Drosophila melanogaster: one gene and its partners. The protein of the gene in region 3 interacts with the protein of the main gene of each other region in a pairwise test. Each region holds a gene or a part of one and is shown on either strand. Other genes may lie near its edges.

Region 1 (4,605 bases), on a different chromosome or scaffold from region 3:
AAGCCTGAGGCACGGATCGTGAAGAAGACGGGTGAGGCTTGGTACGCAGAGATGCTCCGGAAACTAAGATCGGACCCGAGCCTTAGCGAACTGGGCAGAAGAATTCGGAGAACTCAGCTAGATGAGCTGTTGCTCGAAGTAGTGGGAAAAGCCTCGGGAAGCTTTCCCAAGTATAAAAGCGATCTAGAGGCGACGGTCAATGATTTGGCATCTGTGCGGCAGCTCAAAGAATAGCACTATCCTGCAGTGGACTGGACGAGGATACGATAGTAGAGGAGCATCAACAGGCCCTTGGGAGTAGAGCTGCACTGTTTTGCAGACGATGCGGCAATTACAGCAGTCGCCAAAACAATTGCAGAGTTGCAGGACAAATGTAACACCACGATTGGAGCTGCCGTCCACTGGAAAGCCGGGCTAGCAATAGCGGCTCGCAAGACCGAAGCAGTAAGTACTAAGCAGCAGGAAAAAGGTGGAGAATATGCTAGTCCTCTGTCAATGCGACACAGGTGACCTCCCAAGAGTCCCTCAAGTACCTGGGTGCTATGATAGAACCACGCGAGTTACGGCAGCAAGAATGCATCAGTCACAGTTTCTTCATTGGCTAGACTGGTGCCCAACATCGGTGGTCCAAGCTATCTGGCCAGGAAACTGGCTTCGCTGCTGTACGCTGCACCAATCTGTAGCAATGCTACAAGCAGGGGTTCATACCTGAAAGGAGCCATGGCCCTCAGGCTCATTAGAGGATTCAGGACAATATGTGAAGACGCGGCACTAACTCTGGCAGGCCGCCAATTGATCGGAGATCAAGGCTCTCGGCCTAAAGCGGGGTGGCGCTTACCGACGAGTGGCTGTTGGGTGAGTGGCAGAACAGGTGGTCTTACCAGCTCATTCCTGAGTCGGCGGTTTGGGCAGAGTGCCAACACAAATGCTTGGACTACCACCTAACCCAGTTTCACACGGACCATGGCTGCATTCGGGCCTATCTACGTCGATTGTTCTGCGTCATTTGTGAGAAAACAGAAGAGCATGTGCTAATGCACTGCTCCAGGTTTGCGATGGAGAGGGAGCAGCTAAAGACGAAGTCAGGTGCTCCGTTCAGCCCTAGTGGCTTGTTCGCAGCTATATTGGCAAAGAGCGAGGCATGGGAGCTGGGACACAGTCTAATCATTAAAATGATTAAACGTGTCCGATCAGACGAGATGGCCAACAGAGAAGGTGGCTAAACCCGAACAGGTGTCCTGTGTGGTGGCGAGTGAAGAATACTACCTGAGCGTTCCCGGCTTGTCGTAAAAAGCGACTAAAGGGTGAAAAGAGGCGCACTCATGGCCTACACTGAAGGAAGAGAGTGTGAAGCCAAATTCTGTTCATCGAAGTCATACAATGGCAGTCCCGGTGAGCGTTCAAGGACTGAAGAGCACACGGAGGTTTTTGTTTTAGTATGTGGTGTTGTTTTTGTTGTTGCGCAGGTATCAGTGTTACCAGACCAGACGTCGGCTAGCACCTAAGCGCGATTGTTCTCGGTTGTGCGAAGGGGCACACTGTGAATTAGTGACTCGTAATGTCAGTGGATAAAACGTATTATGTAGCTTAATATATCATTGACAGTTCTGAGAATTTTCAATCTTCTACAAACTAATGTTAAGACATGCAAAAATTGTTTTTGTAAATGAACAAGTAGTTTAATAGTATTAATCGTATATTTGTATAAGTGTTAGTATATTGCTGTTTCTTTTTTACATTTTATATCCAGAATAACATAGATGTTTTTAAGCGATAGTTGCTATCGATAGTGCTGGACGATAGTTTGCCACCCCAAGTGTCACCAGTGAAACGCCAGTCCTATTTTTTTTTTACGAACGTAGTTCGAATAGTCAGGATAATTTGAATCTGGTTGTTTTTACTTCACACATAGCTTAGGAAAAGGTGTGAAAAGCGTATACTGTGAGCCATGGACATCGATTTGAGTCTGGACGAGATTATAGAGCGGAAGCGCGGGCAACGCGGCTATCGTCCCCTCGACAGAAAGTTGTAAGTACATTTACAGGACAGCCGAAAAAATAGAATGTCACTCAATGCGTTTTCCATTGCAGCAATGCGAACTTCTCCAAGCCGCGCCAGCTGCTGAACAAGCCTTTTTTCAAGCCATCGGGTGCCCGAGGATCTCACTCTGATACGCCGGCAAAGCGCACCTTCGATGCCAGAAACACGATCGCCGCGAAGACACGGGCCAAGATAGCCGATGCCCGGGATCTGATCAACAAGAGCGTGCGCGACTCGGGCATCGATGCCCGCCAGCTGTTGCTGGAGCGAAAGAAGGCCCGTTCGGCGGGCCCAATACTTATTGATGACGAAGAAGAGTCGTTTGAGCCATCACATCGCGCACGCGGAAAGGGAGTGCACATCGGTCAGTTTGGTCACCGCCTTAGCATGTCAAACCATGCGGACGGCACCATTCAGGCGAAATGGGACTCGGACGACGGGGTCGTTGAACTGGGTAACCACATGTTGTCCGGCTTGCGTCGAACCTTTGACCCCAGATCCCATAAGCCGGGCAAACCCTTTGCTCCACGACGCTATATTGATCTTGATAATATGCAGGACCTCGAGGATGGTTAGTTAGTGCCTTTCTCTGCCAAGCCGTTCCTAAAAAGCACTCTTCTACTTTCAGAGGAAATATCTCGCACACTGCACTTAGGGCAAATGAAGCAAGCGTCGCCACGCTACTCAATTGGTGGGCTCGACCTGAACCGCGGCGACGACGTGGAGATGTCCATGGCCCCACTAAATAACAAAATAGATAACAATGCATTCTCCATTTACGAGGCGGCCCGCAATCGCATTGAGCGTCCTTCGCTGACCAACCGACTCGTAGTTGGACGCTCAAATACCACCAAGGAGCCTCTCGAGCGCCGCCACCGCGACACAGCAAGCACAAGTAAACTCCCAGAATCGCTGCGGTCTCGTCTGTTTGTCGGTAAGAGGGATCCTCACATTTCTCATGGCATCTACGCCAACGAGAACCGGAGAAAGGCTGTTGGTGGCGGTGGTGCTAGGGATAGCGATAGCGGTACTGATAGTGATGGTGATGCAGCTGCTCCATCGAAGAACAAGCGCCGTTCGCCATCCCCATTGTCGCTGCGTACGTCGAACACAAAGGATGGATACCGCCTGCTGGTGAGCAATCTGCATACTAACGTGACTACTGCGGATATTCGCGAGCTTTTTAGCGACATCGGCCCAGTGTACGACGCTCGTGTGGTGCGTCCCGGCACCGCCGAAGTTATTTACAAGTCACTGGAACATGCCGAGAAGGCCGTAGATACCTATCACCATCGTCAGTTCGATGACCAGCCCATGCACTGTGTGCTGGTTAATCCGCACTCCTCCCGTCGCTCGGTGCACAAAGCCAGGTGAGTGATATGCTTTAAAGATACCAAGCAGTATTGTTCAACGTTCTCGGCCGTAGCTCTCGCACCGTGACCACAAACTCGTCTGGCGTGGAGGTGGACATCGATGCACTTCACTCGGTACTCTTCAGGGTCCGCTAGGAAGCGAGAGGCAGAGCCCGGGAACTAAAGCAACTAGATAATTTTTCTCATCATTTTCATCATCTCCGTAGTATTTAGTTCAACAACGTAGTCCATTTTCATTTCGCGCTTATTAAATTCGAATCGATCCATCCAGCGTATGTTCAGAAAACCAGACTAGTTTAAACGAGAACATTTCTTTACTATAGAAACTTGAATTTTCTAATGCAAATTCTGGCATATCTGTCCACTTCAGTATTCAGTATTAGGTGGCTAAAATTTTTGTCTTATCATCAAAGTAATTCATCAGTCCCACTATATACACAATTAAATGTATGGCATTGATAATGATTTTGCATCCGCTCTTGAAATTTGGTATTGAAAACTTTTCTTTTACCTTTTTTGAATGACACTATGGATTATGATTATACGATAAATAAGAGGACCCAGTAATGTTACAATTGCTTGTATAATATTTCATAAAATGTACAGTTTTTAAATTTCATAAAATTAATTCATAATAATTAAAGAGAAAGGAGCAGTTTGGTAAGCAGTTAAGAGTTGCAAAAAAAAATGTATATGTAAAGTAACTTGGAGGCCGCTTAGTTATCCCGGATGCCCGTTCCGTAGTTGGCGCCGCCGGCACGGTTCAGTGCTTCACGGAAGAGCTCAATGTCCAGCTCGGCCTCCACTCCCGCCTGAAGTTCCACGGCAAAATTCTGCAAGAGATTAGAGATGAGAGGATCTATTTCTGCCTCTGGGCTCTGGCATCTCTAGCTATTGGCTACTCACGTTGAGGACATCCTTGATCAGCGCCTTGTCCGTGGACATCTTGGCCCTCTGGATGACGCCCACCTCCTGCCCGATCCACGTCAGGAAGATGAACTTTTTGCGCTTGGACATCTCGTCACCCATCTGGATGCGTATGTAGCCAAAGGCGCGCTCCGAGTCGCCGAACTGCTGTCGGAATTCCTCAAAGCACTGACCGCGCGCATGTACAATAATCTGGGCGCCATCGAACTTGAATACCGCCCACTCGGTGTCTGTCAGATCGGAGCGTACATCCTCGTAGGCCTCG
Region 2 (4,775 bases), on a different chromosome or scaffold from region 3:
ATGTAGCTTAAGTTTGACGGATTTTAGTTTTATCGTTTCTTATGCAACGCGTACATTTTGATTTCTTTTCACTTATCACTGTCTACTTCTCTCTCCCCCTCTCTTCACTCTAGATATGGTTAATCAAAAATATTAGTCAAGTGCTGCGAGCGAGTCAAGACCCGGGTGCTTGCGTACACCACACATTCAGATACAGACACAGAAAACACAAGCCCCTAAATCGTAACAGAAGAGAAAACCAGATTTATTTCATAATTATTAGTGTTGTTTTTAAAATGCGCGATATGTTGAAGCGAGTAAACATAGAAACCAATGTATTTATTTTAAGCCGTAGCACTTAGCTCTAATTTTAAACTATCGAACTTCGTGGCCGCCCTCCGGTCAGTCAGGTTGATTTTGGTCCACTTCGGGCAATCGATTCACCAATTCCATTGTTCAAGCCATGCATCTAGCCTTGCAGCTGTACCACTATACAACTCGAATCGATAGCCAAGCCGCGAAGCCACCATCTCCACCTATCCAGTCATGCTAATCACCAAAACACCATTCGGTGTTGATGAAATTGTATATCGGAAGTTTGTCTAGACATTTGCTTGGGGATCGGATCCCTTGCGGCTTAGCCCGTGAGTTGGGATTCAGTCGCGAAGAGAGGCACTGTAATTATATATATGTATATGATATGTGTATCTAGTTTGTGGCATTTGTGTCGTCGCTTAGTCTAGCTAATTTGTTCTCGAGATCTCCTCTTCACCGATTGTTTCTGTTATTTTGCACTAAATTGTTAAAGCCAGAACTACTTATGTAAAAAGGATGAATTGTCGAGCGACGCGCCCAGCAGATTGCTCCGATCCGATTCTAATGCAAATGTAAATACGAGTTAAACAATTAAGCATCACACAGTTAAACAGAGGAGGACGAAGAAGAGGACACTTTGAAGGGCGATCCAATTAACGCAAATATAAATTATATAACAGATATTAATAATCCCCTCTATATATAAAACAATTAAATACGAGTAATCAAAAGTTGAATTGTAACCCCCGAAAGTATTGCACATATTTATGTATTCCAAATTGTTTCAAAATTGAATTGAATCTAATTAATTTTTGTTTGATTGTTAACCCGCTTTTAAATGTAAATGAATGCGATTAGTCCAGCAGTAATTAACTTTTATATTGTAGTATCCCATTCTAAATCATTGACATCAATTATTGCCGATCAGCTCCGGGCCAGGATAAAAGTCCTTGGGCGCCTGGGTCTAGGGCCGGGATCCGAGAGTCGCCGGCTCATCTATAGTATAAACACGCATACATATATAAAATTCAATTATTAATAATTACATTTTACGGTCTTGCGTGTGTATTTATTGTTCGTACAAGTCAAAGCAAAAATACTAAGTAAACTAAATTTAAACTTAACAATTGTTTCCAAATTTCAATTGTATTCTGGTCTAACACGAAGAAGCCGAAATAAATTTATTATACAAACTCACCGCTTTGTTTTACAAAGGGTATTGCCTAGTCGGCTTTGCCCATGAAAAGCTCTGCCAGGATGGTAAACAAACTGATTTTCGGGGATGGAACTTTCGACGACGCCAGCTGCTTGCAGTTAGCTTTCACTCTCTCCGCTCGGGCTTTGTTTTGTTTTGGGACAGTAACGGGCCACAGCCGGCACATGCGCTTTGCCCGCTCCCCGGAATCGCTGAACTTCGCCGCAGAGTTTTCCGCTTCAGAACCCGGAGGGCAGACCGTCGGAGAGTTCGAGCCAAGTGCGGACAAAGAAGACTTTTCCGTGCTGCTGCTTCTGCCAAAAACACAAAGTGGAAAATGTGATGTGTTCGCTTTATTTGTCGAGGATAAATCAATTCCGCTATTAACTAGACTACGGGCACGTACCTGGCCAAAAGCATCGAAGAAAGGCGAAAGGGAATCCAATAGGCCCAATTGAGGGCAGACCGTGGAAAAACCCTCTTCTATCGCGAACCAGTTCGTGGCAGTGTGTGCGTGCGTGTGTGGATTTTCGCCTTACTTTTTTCATGCGCAATTTGGGTTACAAAGCGAGAAAAGCGCTGCTTAAAATGCATGTTTTAAGCGCGTCCCTTCATTGATTTTCCTACGCACAAGGAATGATATACGAAGTCCTCACCAGGAACAAAGGGCGCAGGCCAACGATGAGGACAAAGACGCGAGGAAGCTGCTTCTAGCTTCCCAGCATTCATTAGGACAGGGCGAGGACCAGCCCCGCGCAGATCAGGAAACTCATCCCGGGAGGCATCCTGGCTCCCGTACTGCCCAGTAGCGGCATGGCCGGCCTCATCGGTGCCGCAAATGGCAAACACCACCACCCACACCTCATCTCGCCCACCCACACGTCACTGCCGGCCGGCATATGTAGTAGTGACAGCGGCATCTCCACTTTGAGTGCCATCTCGCCGCCACTCTCCACCTCGACCACCACGGCCTCCGGTGCAGGCGGAGGAGTGGGCGGCAGCCCTCAGCTGCGCACCTCACCTGCGCTGAGTATGCTGGGTAGCGCCACGGCGACGGCCAGCGGCGTTACCGCCTCCTCAGGATGCGGTCTAACTGCCGGGATCCTGGGCCCGGCGGCCAGCATTGACCTGGGCAGCTCGCCGCTTTCTCACCGAAACTACAGCAACTCACTGAAGGGCTTTAGTTTCCGTCGCAGCTTCGACGACAAGATCATCAATACGCCGTACTTGTCGCGCGCTCCAGCCTACACCCACGGCATTCCCTATCCGCATTTTCACGGTACTCAGCCTGCGGCCACCACGCCGCACCACCTCCACCTACACCACCATGGGAACGGCACAGCTGCGGGATCAGGTTCCGGTGTGGGATCGGGACCGGGATCTGGCAGCGGTGCAGGAGGACTCTACCAGCAGCCTCTGTCGCTGGCCTCGATGACAGCGGCCCTGCCACTGGCTCCGCTCTATGGATCCCCGCTGTCCCTGCCGCTGACCTCCTCTCAGTCCACCACCAAGCTCTCCTACCGCGACGACTTTCTGCAGCAGATTGGCTATCTGCCAACTACGCGCATCTACAGCACCCCGACCAGCATCGTCGACGAGGACAAGGCCCAGCAGGACTTCCTCTCGCTGTCGCTGTCGCCGCCGCTCAACCGACGGCGGGATATGCCGGCACTGCGCGGCCCATTCGTCAGTCTGTAAGTACTTCATCGATATCGTTGTCCCTATTTGGTAAAACATTTTTATTGTGCTATAAAATTAATATAAGAATTTAGTATATATTTCTATTTTCGGCTACAAATACCATATTTGCCAATATTATAAGATAAACTTCCTTCGATCACTTCATGATCACTTGAACACTTCATCTTCAAAAAAAATGTTCTTGACATGAACTGACACTGAGACATGATCAGAAGATCAGGATCTTTTAACAAATAGAGCTGGGCGTGTCCGTCCGTCCGTAATTTTGTATAAAGTTCGACCACACGTTTATTTCAAGACGTGTTCATGACGGACTACTAGAAACGTTAACTAATACTGCTCATTGGAAAGCGACGTCTCTTTAACGCTTTTCTGTTAAGATATCTCAACTCAATCTCTCAACTGAGTAACGAAGTAACTCGACCAAATGCATTTAATTTGTATTGACAAAATGGTATTAGGTTCCATTTCTGAGTGACACAGTATAAGCCTGTAATGTAAATAAAAATATAAATTGACAATTAATGAAATAATATTAAAGGGCATACCAGCTTCGACTTAGTAAAGTAAGCTTTTTTCCAGTTTTCTTTCCCATCACTCTCATGCGGATAAAATATGAACATAAAGTATACGCCGCGTGTATTCCACGTGTCTCTCACAGGCAGGAAATAAATTTATCGAACCGTAACGAGCTGCTCCAATATGTGAGCCGTTCGGGGATGGCCTCACTATTCGCGTTCCCACTGTGCGGGCACAGTGGGCCTCATTGTTGACGCAACCCATTAGTTCGATACCCTTCGCCACACAGTGTGCTTATCCCGAATGGGATGTGATTCCACACACTACATACTTACTTATGTGGTCCAGTTTTTTCGACAGTGGTACCAAGCAAACTTTACCTCCTGCGTCCCATAATCCTACATCGATCCCCCCGCATGAGTTCTTCCATTCAGTCCGCTCGGTTTGTTTACGTTTTTAAATTGCCCTAACCGCAAGTAGGCACCACGTGACGCCAGTGGCTAACCAATGAGCACCCCCAACCCAATCACCAACCTCCAACCCCCAGCGCATCCCCGCAATAACACAAACTCACTGCAATCGAGCAAAACGATGACGTTTTACTGCCTCTGGCTGCTCTGTATTCGCACTGATTTTCTAGCCGACTTATTGTTTTCATTCGCTTCTTTCGGCGTCTATAAATAATAATTTTATTGTGTTGTGCGGGGGGGGGGGGGGTTTGGTGGTGGTGTTGTTATGTACGCCGAGTAGAGCGCGTTCGTGTGTCAGAAATAGGGTGACTCAAGATGTCAGCAAGCTTTTCCTTCTAAAGAAATCGCCATGGCTCCATAAGGATCAACGGCTGACTCAAGTTGGGAACGGGGCTGCAAAATCAATAAGGCCGGTTAGTCCCAATACGAACTCACACATTTGCATATTGTGCAGGCGGCGGACGGAACTGCAGTTGCATTGCGAGGAATTTTTCAATCGCACCTAATCGCTCGAAACTACCTTTCGAAGTGGTTTCGAAACCTTTTGGAATTCGAGGTATTCGAAATCCTGCCTGTCGAACACCCCTCTGCACGGG
Region 3 (4,143 bases):
CATATCCCAGTAACAGGATGAGCAGAAACAATCCCCATGTGTTCGATGCGGACGAGGCAATTGCCTTGAGCTTTTGCCAATCCAGAGACTCTCCTTTGACGGCAATATAGATGAGTAGTACGCCACAGATGAACAGGTAGGAACCGTAGTAGATGGCATTCTCTATCAGTGCCGATTTAAGTTTTCCCTTGACGGTGAAGTCGCCCGCCTTAAGGTACGACTGCATCAGCGGCATAATCAACCAGGTGAGGAACTGTGAGCTCCAGTAAATAATGCGCCAGAGGTTTGGGAACACGGAGGCGGGCACCATGCCCCACGGTTCCTGGCACTGAGGCGGCGGACCCACCGTGGCGCTCGACGTGTTGGTCACATTTGGGGCTGGGGTCGGTCGGTGCTCCTCCACGCACTGCCGGTAAAGCGTCTGAAATGGCAATTATACAATTTGATTGTTAATTGTTATTAGCTCTAATCGAAGGAGTTGATAACCAAATGACAATAGGGTATATCCAAAGCCGGAAAGCGGTTAATTTGTGTTTCTATAATCAATTCGGGTTTTTTGTTGTCTAACTTTAGGGGTGATTCATTTGCAGATAAGAAATTCCAGACCAAAATCAATGTATGCTTACAATTTGAATGGTGTCGGCGAAGCTTTAGATAAAAAGTTAATTAATTTCCGTTCGAAATTTAAGTTTTGTTTAAAAATTACTAACGTTTCACATGCAATAAAATGCGACAAACTGTGTTTTGATGGAAATGGAAATCTAAAGATTACTTCTTTATGAACGAAACGTGTTTTTAAATATTTATAATTTCTAGTCGTTCTAGTCTTGTATATATTTATGATCGTTGGAATATATATTTTACCTGCAACATATACAAAACATATACAAAACCACAACATATGGCAGAAAGGACAGAAGCATTTGCACGTTTAAAAGTACTATATATGCACATCTACAAAATCATATTAATGCAACTATTTATTAAGTTATTTTAAGCTTTCTGTTGTTTCCTATTGCGGCTATATTCTATTCCAAATGGTCTTATAGCTTCACATTCCAACTCACCGATGTCACGTCCAGCGGAATGGTGAATACAATTAGAAAGGAGAAACACCAGGCGGTCAGCACGGACAGGGTGACCAGGATGTGCTGACGTGGTATGTTTCCGTAACGGTACAGCGAGATGCTGGCCAGGAATAGGGCGGCCACGATGCCAAAGCTTAGTAGGTACGCCATTGTGACTAGTGCTTATCCCGATCCCGATCCTGGTACGGGTGTACTCAGTTCTTGTGCTTTGCTGTGATTCTGTGTATTTGTGGTGCGTGCGTGTGGGTGTATGTGCTTATAACAAATGTATTTCTGCGATTAAGGACTGGTTCATAGCGAGCCTGTGGGCTCCGTGGACTTCTTCTTCTGCTGGCGCTTCTTCTGCAATTGGCGAGCGGTGTCCCGATGCATTTCCTCCAGGCGTTCCAGCGCCTGCGTCTTTAGCGGCATCAGATGTGGCCGGCAGAAAAGCAGCTCCGTTTTGTGCTCGAAAAACAATTTTCCGGTTGTGGGCTCAATCAGATCGATTTTCTGCAGCACCTCGGCCTCCACTGAGGACATCCTTTGGAGCTCCGCGGGCGGTCGGGGGGCGTGGCCGGGATGTGTTGGGAGCTGGCGTTGGTGGTATCTTCACTACGCCGGTACCAGTTCACCTTCGTTGTGTTTATTTGTTTTTTTTTCTCGGTCAATCAAATCAATCGACTTTATCAAAAAGTGTGAACGTGTGCGTGGGTGGGCCGAACAGCACTGTTAAATGAAGTGTAACGTGCGTTTTCATGTTGACATGCTCTGGTCACACTGGACTGTGGTGTTCACTTGGGAATTTATTTATTTATACCCATTTTATTGGGTAGGAGAGCATTTTTAAAGGCAAATAAATTTCTAATTAACAATGCTTTTTTATAATCATGATAGTTTCAAACATTTAGGTCTTGACCAACACTAGAAACACAAAACTTCTTTGCAGCGAGTTGGCAGCCCTTGGTCAATGTTTTTGTTTTGCTGGCACAGCAAAAGAAATTCTTAAATTAGGAAAATTTTATTTGGCCTGGCCAAGATTGCCCAGAAATGGAAGCGAATGAAAGTGCGATGCCAGGAACGGACAAATCCCAAGCTTGTCGCACCAGCGGCGATGGCATGGAGCAACCGGAAAACAGTGGAGCGGCCAAAACAGAGAGCGAAATCCCAGCGAGTGCTGATGTGGACAACAAGGTAAAGAGGCCACAATTATCGCGAAAAGACAGCTCCGTTGTCCAGGAGGCCGTCATGGGCAGGAAGACATCAACTAGTAGCGGCCACTCCTCAAATTTGCCCCTTCCTGGCTTGCATACCCTGTACAGACGACCCGAGAACGTCACCCGGAGTTTGGCGCCCGTTGTGCCCAAGGGGGAGCTGGTCCAGATGCGGCCAAGACTGGTCACCAGCGCGGACTCGCTGCCCGAACATAAGAAGACCAAGGCGCCCAAATTCGTGCCCTACGAACCATATCCGGGTGCCGTGAATCCCATGATCTCTGAGCCAACGAATAAACACAAAATCCATCGGGATAAGAACAACCTGGACATTGCGGTGCTGGTGGATCAGGTGTCCACGCTGCGCACACAGGAATTGGAGACTGAGACAACGGATATTAAAGAAACAGACACAGCCAGTAGCCATGAGGTAAACTCACTTAAAGAGGAGCTGGCCAAGATGCGCGATGAACGCAATTACTTTCAAGCCCAGTATAAGTTCCAAACGCAGGTGAATAGCGAGCTGAAGAGCCTGCTGGTGGCCTCCGTGGGCGAGGATCTGCAGACACGGGTTAATCTCCTCACCGAGGACAAACTACAGCTGGCCAGAGCTCTATTGGACACTGCCAACAATTTGACCACCCACACCGAGCAGATTGAGTTCCTGGCCGGCCAGTGTGAGGTCTGGCGGTCCAAATTCCTCGCCAGCAGCGTTATGGTTGAGGAGTTAGCCCGCTGGAAAGCCGATCTCACGCAGAAGAATCAGCTATTGAACGAGTCAACGAAGCAACTGCTTCATGCCACCCATCAGATCCGCGAAATTCAGCTAGATATGCTTAAGCAACTGAAGTTCCTGGCCAAGATTCGTTTCCTCAACCTGCCCGCCACCGATGTAATCAGCCTAAGTGCCGAAAACCTTAACATTCTCCAACGCATGGTCCTGCACACTGGCGTGGGCATTCCCGAGGAGACACTAAAGTTGTCCAGCGCCAGCACAAGTCCACTTTGTGAGGCGGAGAAGTACGCGGTTAGGGTAAGTACAGCGATAGTTAAAGTGATTCAAACATCCAGTTAATGGTACACCTTATTACCGTCCCACCAGGCCTTGGAATTCATTAGTCAGCCCCTGATGGCCACCGATGAAGCCATACGAGCACTTTTCGACCAGGCCCAGCGACCCCACTACGTGCAATCACCTGCATCCGAAGTAACTCCTGCCTGCGATAATCAGCAGCTAGATAAAATGCAATAGTTTTTCGACAGAAATCAATGTTATATGTGTGTGTAGGCCTAATAAATTTTATATACAATCAAATAACATAAATGCAATGCTTTAAAGGTGCTTAAAACGACAGATTCTTGAATTTTTGAAGATTTCCCATTTCCCATTTAAAGCAATCCTTTATTTGGCCTTCCTTTCGGTGGCGTACAGATCTAGACGTCTTTGCCCAAAGACGGGAATCTGCTGACGCACCTGCTCCACCTCGGAGAAATCTATATCGGCCACCACGATTTCCTCGCCTTCACTGGCACTCTGCTGCACCTTGGCCCATGGATTCACCACCATGGAATGGCCATAGGCTACATACTCGGCGCTTGTGTCACGGGCTGGTGATGTTGTGACCACAAAGAGTTGGTTGTCATTGGCACGGGATCGCTGCAATAGCTCCCAGTGCAGTGGACCAGTGGTCATGTTGAATGCAGCCGGATAGATGATCATCTCGCAGCCTGCGTTGCGATAGAGCCTCGCCATCTCCTCGAATCGAATATCGTAGCAGATGCCGATGCCAATCTTGTGGCCATCTACGTTGATGATGGTGAAATCATTGCCTGCGGACAGCGTTTCCGACTCCTTGAAGCGA

Evidence for each region.
Region 1: the proteins of CG9356 (region 3) and CG18259 interact in a two-hybrid assay, tested with the Drosophila melanogaster proteins (one large-scale study listed by BioGRID).
Region 2: the proteins of CG9356 (region 3) and Srpk79D interact in a two-hybrid assay, tested with the Drosophila melanogaster proteins (one large-scale study listed by BioGRID).

Annotation. Positions count from the first base shown.
Region 1 is NC_004354.4:18,780,719-18,785,323, reverse strand, and holds CG18259 (uncharacterized protein), read left to right. Parts: upstream 1-1,829; 5' UTR 1,830-1,948; coding exon 1,949-2,028; intron 2,029-2,090; coding exon 2,091-2,611; intron 2,612-2,668; coding exon 2,669-3,410; intron 3,411-3,466; coding exon 3,467-3,548; 3' UTR 3,549-4,059; downstream 4,060-4,605. Other genes in the region: CG6891 (uncharacterized protein), read right to left, coding at 4,130-4,246, 4,320-4,605.
Region 2 is NT_037436.4:22,272,256-22,277,030, forward strand, and holds the start of Srpk79D (Serine-arginine protein kinase at 79D), read left to right. Parts: upstream 1-1,729; 5' UTR 1,730-2,302; coding exon 2,303-3,183; exon of another isoform or gene 3,184-3,236; intron 3,237-3,290; exon of another isoform or gene 3,291-3,461; intron 3,462-4,775. Other genes in the region: Csp (cysteine string protein), read left to right, coding at 114-136.
Region 3 is NT_033777.3:9,402,014-9,406,156, reverse strand, and holds CG9356 (uncharacterized protein), read left to right. Parts: upstream 1-1,887; 5' UTR 1,888-1,919; intron 1,920-1,978; 5' UTR 1,979-2,117; coding exon 2,118-3,314; intron 3,315-3,383; coding exon 3,384-3,533; 3' UTR 3,534-3,593; downstream 3,594-4,143. Other genes in the region: CG8135 (uncharacterized protein), read right to left, coding at 1-421, 1,068-1,238; BBIP1 (BBSome interacting protein 1), read right to left, coding at 1,380-1,610; CG8132 (uncharacterized protein), read right to left, coding at 3,684-4,143.